2 linked regions of the Danio rerio genome follow. The main gene of each other region encodes a partner of the protein of the gene in region 2 in a complex. Links are inferred from orthologs where the notes say so. Each region holds a gene or a part of one and is shown on either strand. Other genes may lie near its edges. The genes, in order: mettl14 and zc3h13.

Evidence for each region.
Region 1: zc3h13 (region 2) and mettl14 share a complex: the UniProt entries of both Homo sapiens proteins name them as parts of the WMM complex. The link is inferred for Danio rerio from reciprocal best matches to the Homo sapiens genes ZC3H13 and METTL14.

What each region holds. Positions count from the first base shown.
Region 1 is NC_133176.1:21,570,089-21,574,931, forward strand, and holds the start of mettl14 (N(6)-adenosine-methyltransferase non-catalytic subunit METTL14), read right to left. Parts: upstream 3,133-4,843; 5' UTR 3,041-3,132; coding exon 2,975-3,040; intron 2,834-2,974; coding exon 2,745-2,833; intron 2,543-2,744; coding exon 2,455-2,542; intron 2,350-2,454; coding exon 2,272-2,349; intron 1,689-2,271; coding exon 1,601-1,688; intron 1,523-1,600; coding exon 1,432-1,522; intron 1,143-1,431; coding exon 1,001-1,142; intron 494-1,000; coding exon 401-493; intron 212-400; coding exon 95-211; intron 1-94. Other genes in the region: prss12 (neurotrypsin), read left to right, coding at 4,518-4,833. UniProt on the Homo sapiens protein: The METTL3-METTL14 heterodimer forms a N6-methyltransferase complex that methylates adenosine residues at the N(6) position of some mRNAs and regulates the circadian clock, differentiation of embryonic stem cells and cortical neurogenesis.
Region 2 is NC_133176.1:33,353,836-33,358,024, reverse strand, and holds the start of zc3h13 (zinc finger CCCH domain-containing protein 13), read right to left. Parts: upstream 2,801-4,189; 5' UTR 2,662-2,800; intron 161-2,661; 5' UTR 152-160; coding exon 14-151; intron 1-13. UniProt on the Homo sapiens protein: Associated component of the WMM complex, a complex that mediates N6-methyladenosine (m6A) methylation of RNAs, a modification that plays a role in the efficiency of mRNA splicing and RNA processing.

The sequences.
Region 1 (4,843 bases), about 12 Mb from region 2:
AGTGTTTACTACAGGAAAGCATCATTATGAATAAGTGAGATTACAATGTTGTGCTTTGCCTATGACTCTATATATTATAGACAATAACTTTTACCTTAGTTCTCTGGAACACTGCTTTAGGGTCCAGTGTTTTGGTTTTGCCAGGGTTGTTTTTGTTGGTCTTGATCCAACATATGTCCTCACATCGCCTGAAGCCCCATTTTCTCAGACACTGAGAGAGAAAGAAGAATGAAAGATGTTTAAATATGTTTGAATAAAGAATATTTGGCAATGATGTAAAAGCAGCATATTTGTATGTGGGCAGGTTATTATGTGTACATCATATTTGAGATAAGTTTAGGTTTATGCACATGGAACAGAAATCTGCCATGTCAAGTTTGTATATTTGTGAGATTTGTACCATTCGGCCAAGATCAAGGCCTTCTCCTGAGCCACACCACAAGAATACAAAAGAGCGAATGGATGAGATTTCCTCTATGTTCAGCTTCATGATCTAAAGCACACATGAATACAAAAATAAGTTATTATATATGTTAGGACATCTTACATTATTATATTATATGAGCATAAAATATATAATAACTGTTATCTAAATGGATAGTTCATCTAAAAATGAAAATTCTCACCATTTAGTCAGACTCAAATGGTTGTAAATTGTTATCAATGTCTTTCTTCTGTTGAACATAAAACTAGATAATCTGAAGAATGTTGGAAAATGCAGCCACTTACATCCATATTAGGAACAACAAAAACAACTAAAACAAACAAACAAAAAAACTATGAAAGTCAACGGCTGTTTTCCCCCAGCATTCCTCACTATATCTGCTTTTGTGTTTAACAGAAGAAATGAACTCAAACAGCTTTGGGACAAGTGGGGATGATAGAATTTTCATTTTTGAGTGTAGTCAAGTATATCTCTAATGTGTATTATAATACATAATTGAAATCAATTTTAAAAACATTCTCATGAGGTTGATTTTGAGAATTTGCAGTAACTCACATCGTCCCAGTTCCAAAAGCGCTCATTGGCAATGATGCCTGACTCTCTGTAATATTCCTCTAATGGAGGCTCTATCAGAATCACATCAAACTTGCACTTCAACTCTCTCAGATCAAACGTGTCTGGATCTGCCTGGAGATACCTGAAACGCACACAAACGCAAGAGTTATTACATTCATAAAAGCATTGAAAAAGACCCAATTGTCCCATAGTTAAATGCTTCTAATTATTATAAAAAATAACTGATTTTATTTGCTTAGCAACCTCAAAATCACTTTTGTTTTTAGTACGTTCAAATAAAATTCTAGAATCTAAATAAAACCCAGTGTTTTATACACAAATGTGAATAATTTTCAGGTTTCAAAAACTGCAAATGGGCACCACTGGCCGGTATGGGCCCTATGACATAGACTGAGACCAAGTTTTCTTACATGGGGGGAGTGTTGGTGGCAGAGATGAGTTCATCTTTCAGTCGAATGAGCTCTCTTTGTTTGGGGTATTCCTCAAACCTGTCAGCCAAACCTACAGCACATGAGAACACACAGGTTAACACACTCTCAAAGTGGAAAACTAAAAAGAAAAAGTAGAAAAACACTTTACCTCCATCTCGGATAAAGTTCTGAGGTCTATGACCTGTGTCCACAAAGTGCTGGCAATAATCATTGTGAGGATTTAAACTCTGAGTGCCCTGTGAAACAAGTAATGATATAATAAAAACATTACTTATGTTATTTTAGTAATATTTAGAGTGACTTTGCATAGACATAAACTATGCAACTGAAAAAGGAACCAGAAGAAATAAATCCCCTATGACATCTTATACTGATACATAATACAAAGGAATACAAAGGAAAGAATGCAGAAAGCAGAAAAAGCCAACAGGTAAATGAGACTATCTCTAGCTTTCTGTATGTATATACTGTATGTAACACTTGTTTCCCAAAAAAGCTCCAATAACTAAAACTGTTCCTAGTCCTTGCATTACAAACATGTCAAAAGCGAGAATTTCCTACATTAGTTCTAAGAACTATGAAACATACCTTAATTGCAAAACCCAATGCAGTTTACGTTTACTGTAAGGGACAGTTTTTCTGATGGAATGAAAGAATTTAAAGATCGTACTTTTCAAAAATTACCATGTTTTTGCCTTTAATGACAGTATATAGTGGTAACCGTTTTGTGAATATATGTCTGAGTATCCTCACAAAAATATCATAGCTTCTCATACCCGATTGCTCAATTAAATCATATACAATTGTGTTTAAAGATACCTTTAGAAATGTGCTGGAGTCCTTGTACACCTCTTCATATGGTCCACTCTCTTCCTGATGTTGAGGCTCAACATCTTCCTACACCATACAGCAGATTCAAAATCAGTTACACATAGCTCTGACCTGATCAAATGTAAGGGCTTTTCTGAATTAACAGCCGATTCCTGATCAGCGCTCTCTCACCTTTTGCTCTTCCACATCTTCCTCTGGATCTTCACCCTCATTCAGACACTTCCTTTTAGCACCAGGAACTGATATGTCAAATGATGCCCTACAGTAAACAAACCAAATGGTAACTGACCTCAGCATCGTTCTGATTAATACTAACTTACAAGTAGCAGCATCACATACCCGTGCTGAATGTAAAGGTTGTCCTATCAGTACAGTTTTAGCTCTTTTGGGGTATATAGGTCTTAGTGTTCTTTATTTTTTAGTGCTGCACATAGTCCTTGAATTTAACAAATGGTTTATACCTGCAGGTCTCTCTAGTCTCTTCAATCTCTTTTTGTTCATCTTTACTGTTGAGAACTGCGCCGATGCTGTCGGGACTCTCTGCTCCGAGCTGTAAAACAAATCATTAATGTCATAAAACATTCGCAATGCTTCTACGTTCATTGGCGTTAGTAATATAACACCGCGTTAATATGGCAGTGTTTGCTAAAACTGGCTTTCTGCAGGAAGAAATAAAGTTGTGTATTCGTACCTGTTGTGCGAGAAGCTGACGTCTGAGCTTCTGCCTTTCCCGTATTTCTTGCAAGCGGCTGTTCATGTCGAAAATGTTTTGCAGGAAAATAGCTAATCGTGAAATGATCAGATGACAACAATAGTGCGGCAAAAATCCATTGAAACCCTCAACGTGAGAAACCGTCGCATGTATTTTACATCATCACAATGCTTGACGCATACGGTGACGTCAGTAGACGGCCTCTTACTTTTATTTGGAGTAAAAACAACTAGCGTAAACAAAATGTAATAATGATTATCTTTGAATGATTTGACTGTCAGTGTTCCTTCAGCCATTAGTTTTTGGAGATCACAATTTCAAGACGTAAACTCGAACCAGACTTTTAAGATCTCCAGACGTTTTTGTATAACTGAAAAATTAGAGAGGTAACTTAATATTTAAAATTGTTAATCGTTTTTATCATGTAAAACAGGTAATTGCACAATTTTGTAAAGGTGTTGACTTAAAATGTGTTTTCTGTAACGATTAAGAAGAGAGTATTGTTCATTTATTTTGATTGTATTTATACACTATTGTTTTGGTGTGATCTTTTTTTTTTTTGCGGAGTACGAGTATTGCATTGGAATTAAAAGAAATGATGTTTATTATGAGAATACAGCCGGCTTCAAAATTTGGTATAGTGTTTGCTCATTATATGTGGAATTTGTTTTATTCGTAAATGTAAATGGGCTGTGAAAAAAACCTAATTTTACTCATTTTAAAATAGAAATAGATCATGTACGATATAAAAACAAAAAATACTAAAACAAAAAGCAATGTTAATTATTTTAAAGCCTTAAATTTAGACTTTGAATAATTGTATTTTTTCTTTTCTTTTAATATTGTATTTGTTTTGATCTATCCTTGCTGACTGAAAGTAACTGAAACCGATTTTAAAAATATATTTTTAAATTAGCTATTATTCTATAATTAATAATGTTTATAATTTCATAAATGAAAAGCATTGATTCTGGTTGCATTTTACTGACACAAGAGGGCAGAAGTGAACTTTTGGCTGTTTGTCATTGTGATTAGTTCTGAAAGCTTGAGCCGAAATTTGTACACCGTGTTGTCTCGGAGAGACCAACAGTGATGACCAGACCAGACTAGACGCCAAATTACTGATATAACGTGGCAGACTCTCGTTTAAGTTCACTCTGTGGGAAGATCGGCGCGCGCAGCTCGGGCGCTATCGTGGAATGATTTATTTAGCAATTACTATTTGCCTCGTAGATTCTTTTTCTATTGTTCTGCAACTTGTCACTATTAAATGAAGGACACTATTGATTTTTACCATCAACTGTTCTCTTTTTAAACTTGAAATCCAGACTGGGCGACGATCATCAATATGCATGAGTCATAAGCTCCGGGCTTCCCCGGTTTCTCTTTTATTGATCCGCGTCTGCTGCTCTGATAACAGCCAAACGACAAGATGAGAAAACTCGGGTACCATGTCTTATCCACGCAGACTGGAGAGTAATTGTCGGGTGTTAGGGTGACAGTCACGGACAGGTTGATCGTGATGGATGTGAGGTGTCGGTTCGTCTTTACGGTCTGCGCGCTTCTGCTTATGATCGCGCGCACTGGCGGCTCTCCGTTCACTGACTGTGTTCAGAGCAAAGGGAAAGCGGGCTTTTACGAGGGGTCCATTGACGCAACCGAATCAGGCGTGAAGTGCATGAACTGGAGCGATGTGCCCGGTGTTAGAGAGCGGTATCAAGGTAAAGGGCTCGGAGATCACACTTTCTGCCGAAATCCGGACGGGAGAATTCGGCCCTGGTGCTTCTTCACGAACAACAGAGGACGCATTGACTGGGGATACTGCGACTGCAAGCAGGGTATGTATGT
Region 2 (4,189 bases):
CCAGAATCCGTACCTCTGCTGCATTACTGGCCGTGCTGGGCCCGAGTCTCTCAAACACACTGGGCCTGCGGGAGGGGGTGGTCGTGCTACTGCTGCTGTCCGATATGGTCTTCGAATTCTCCACTGTAACCTTCCGCCTGATCTTGGACATTCTGCAGGGCTGAATTAAAAATAAATAGAAATCACTTCAATTACAAAGCTGTGTTACAGTCAAGATCCCAGAGCCATAAAACTTTACATTTATATATATAAATTGTGGTTAAATTGTGGTTAAATTTAGCTTTTTTTTTTTTAATGATAACCTAACCTTAAAGGGAGTTGATGCCAACTCCAACATTTATACATATATAAACAACCTTATATACACCATATATTATACAATTGCAGGTTAACAGAATGTAATTTTAAGGCTTGGTTGTGTTTCTAAGATGCAAAGCAATGTGTGCTCATGTTTCACTTGAAGGAAATCATGCTATTTTTTCATAAATCTTTTTTTTTTTTGCTGCTACACGAGTTAGATGAGCTATCCTGTATTTTTTTCACTCAACGCGTTACACTGCGTCTTTCACATATATCCGGAATATGCCTGTGTAAGTAACATGAATCATCCACATATCTTTTGCGAGTCCATGATCTGAGATGTTAAACGCATGGAAAAGCTGTCTTAAGAGAATCAATGCAAAGTTGAGCACACACATAAAGAGACGCTGCACGTGCTGGTGAAGTGTGTGTGTGTGTGTGTGTGTGTGTTTACATCAGTTTGACTGATAAATATGAATATGTAGCTAAATCGTTTGCGGTGCAAAACAGCACTTCCCATTGTTTACATTGCTACTAAAGCATACTGTTAACGCTAGACACTGTACATGTCATGATCAATTTTAAAAAATAAAAACACAGCAGTGTGTGTGCGCGGTAAAAGTACCTTTGTGATCTCACAAGGGCCGGAAGTATTTTTTGTAGTCCCCAAAATTTGTTCCTTGTAGGCTTTGCTAAGCTAACTCTGTAAAAACCAAGGTCTCCCTTTGCATTGAACTTTGAGCTTTTTACATTCAGAGATGTTGTTTATGTTCACACAGCTACATTGCACACCAACTAAAGTTCAAAAAATGATATTGTAGTGAATCACCCCTTTAACCTTCCGTAAAACTGCTGTAGAATAAAAATGATTAGGGAAAGCACTATACAAAACTTTGTCAAATCAGCAAGACTAAGAAAATACACTATGCCACTGACAATGAGTATGTCTTCTAACACATTAAAATACTAAAACAGATCATTCAGAATTCAGAATTATGTTCTTTTCATTTATGCTTGTTGGAACTTTCCTCCAAAAGCTTTTGATGTTGAAAAGTTTGAAGTGACTTTTGTTGACATTTTCATAGTTAAAATTGTGGACAATTTTACTAGTGATATATTTGTGTCTGTGTTTGTGTATTAAATCATGGTACAAAAACCTGGTAATAAACCACCTGTACCTATTATGTTATTTTAAAGATTTAAATATCTCTGTATTATTTCTTAAACAATTTATTTTCTCAAACTACTAAAATGCCAATAAAAATCTCTTTGTTAATCTGCAGTGTTGAATTTACTTAATAAATAGAATACACAACCAGAAAATATGGCATATATTGTATATGGCATATCATGTGGCATATATTTGCTCAATTAACATACACTTGTAATCACATCTGTGCTAGAATTTAGCCTTCCAAGAATTAAAATCAAACCAGGCACTTCTGGTGTGAACATTTTTTTTCCCAAGAAACTTTGAACGAGTTAATCCTGACTGAAAAGGCCAGCTAACAATCTACCCTTCAAGTAAAATGAAAAGTATGATAAATTACAGGCTGACAAACTCAATTAACAACATATATACTTGTACATAGGTTGCTTGTTTGGAAAAAAGTGAGCTGATTTTAAAACATTGCCAAAACACTGGTTTAAAAACAAAATATATAACAGATATTTAATAATTTATAATGAGATGATAAACAATTATGTAGAAAAGGTTATTATTTACTCAACAGTTTGCATATAACTTAGTTGAAATATTTTCATCGTTCTAAATCCACATGCTGTTATTAGGGTTTAGTGTAATTAGCTTATTATTTTGGTTAGTTTCTAGCTAATAATGACTTAATGTTATGTCTAATTAATTATGTAATGTGGTCTCCAAATAACAGCTTGCGATGATTGTAACATTAGCTTGAAGGATGATTCTGTCTCTGATCATCAATGCAGGGCAATTTACTACATCCACACAAATTAACATTATAATTATTTAATTCTCGTGGCTTTTGTAGCTTGCAAAAAGCCATGAATGTTCCATTTATTTTACAGAGCCCCGAACACTGTAAACAACAGCACTGGCTGTAACGTAACGTACTACATTTAGTCGTATCTGCTTGACACTCTCCAACGCACATCAACGATATCGTAATTGAGACAATAACTATTTATGCACCATGCGAAGCTTAACACAAACACACAAAAAAGATAGTTAATATATGTGCGCGTTTTAAGCGGTCATTCATTTGCAGAATGAAGCTATACAACTGCATGACTGCAGCGCGGCCTACACTGTTAACACAAGCCTATATAACGATACAGCTAAAACGGACCCTTTAATGGCTCCATAAACAAATTCTAATTTACCCGAATATGATTGATGCGTCAAGTCCAGTTTCACAGACTATTGGGGATAACCTCCTAATCACATGCAAAAGTCTTGCAAAGCGGTCTTCCCCTTAGCCGCCGTCATGATGCTGGCAAGACAGCGCAAACTCTGCACACATTCAGCTTCCTGAAGCACAAAGAAGTGGATTGTGGGAAACTGGAGGTCTAATCCGAAGAATTGGTTTGCCTGAATGTAAAATAGTTATTTGGAGACAGAACACATAAACGCACACACAGGCTACATGGACATTATTTCCTGTTGTGTTTTAATGATAAAAGTATGTTCATTTAATTCTAAAATAAAAAAACAAAGAATTTAAAGAGTTTAAGCCACCTATAAAGTTACAAACAACAATGCGGACACGCATTATGATGAGTTGAGGCCAGTAGAGGCAGCATTTCACATTATATATATATATATATATATATATATATATATATATATATATATATATATATATATATATATATATATATATATATATATATATATATATATATATATATATATATATATTATATATTATTATTATTATTATTATGTTTTAATTATCATATTTTTTTTAAAGGCCAAATTGTGACTAAGGACAGTTGCATGTGCTGGCCAGTTTGTTTTTTGTCTAATAAATGACAGTAGGCTACAGTTTTTTTTTGTTTTTTTTTACTTTAAACCTTTAACAGATTGCTATTTTTCATATTGATATATGATGTCATAAATTTGTGTTTTAAAAATTTGTCTTGTTTATTTATTTTTACATTTTTTAGGAAATATTTTTAGTACACAATTAAAGTGTGGTTATGATGACATCTGACTAGTTAATCCAGCAACAAAAAAAAAATCACTAAAACGCAGTATTATTTTATTATTAATGTGTTTATTATTAAACACAGTATTAAGTAATCTTATAGTATTAATTAATTAATATTTTATCCATAACCCGCAGTAAATAAAAATAGTAGTTTATAGTTACATAAAAAGCAACAACATGCAAATAAAAAGACCTCTGCCTTTAATTTTTTATAGGATCGTGTATTCGATTTGTATGTATGTAGATTGACAACACAGACTGATTTTATAGCACCAGGTTAAATTTTCTGACTTCTTTATGGTAATCAAATACATTGAAAATAAATACAGGCCACAACTGAACATTGAGGATGATCTCCAAAATTAAACCAATAGACTTATGCTGAAAATACAGGTCCACAAGGCTCATTGAGGTGAGGTTAATATTGAATTGTATGTTATTAAATTAAATTAAATGAATAAAATTTAACCATTCTTAGCATGTAGTCCTGTATAAGACTGACATTTATTTCACAATGGTTTTAAAAAAGACTTAAAAAGTCATACATTTGAAATAGTGACTGACACCTGCAGAAACCATGGTTGTGATGTTCTATATAAATTTTTAGACATATTTGCTTTACAATACATGACTCTCTTCTTTTTTGTACTATCTTGGTTACATCAAAAATGAGTAGACTATAAAGTATTAATTATCAA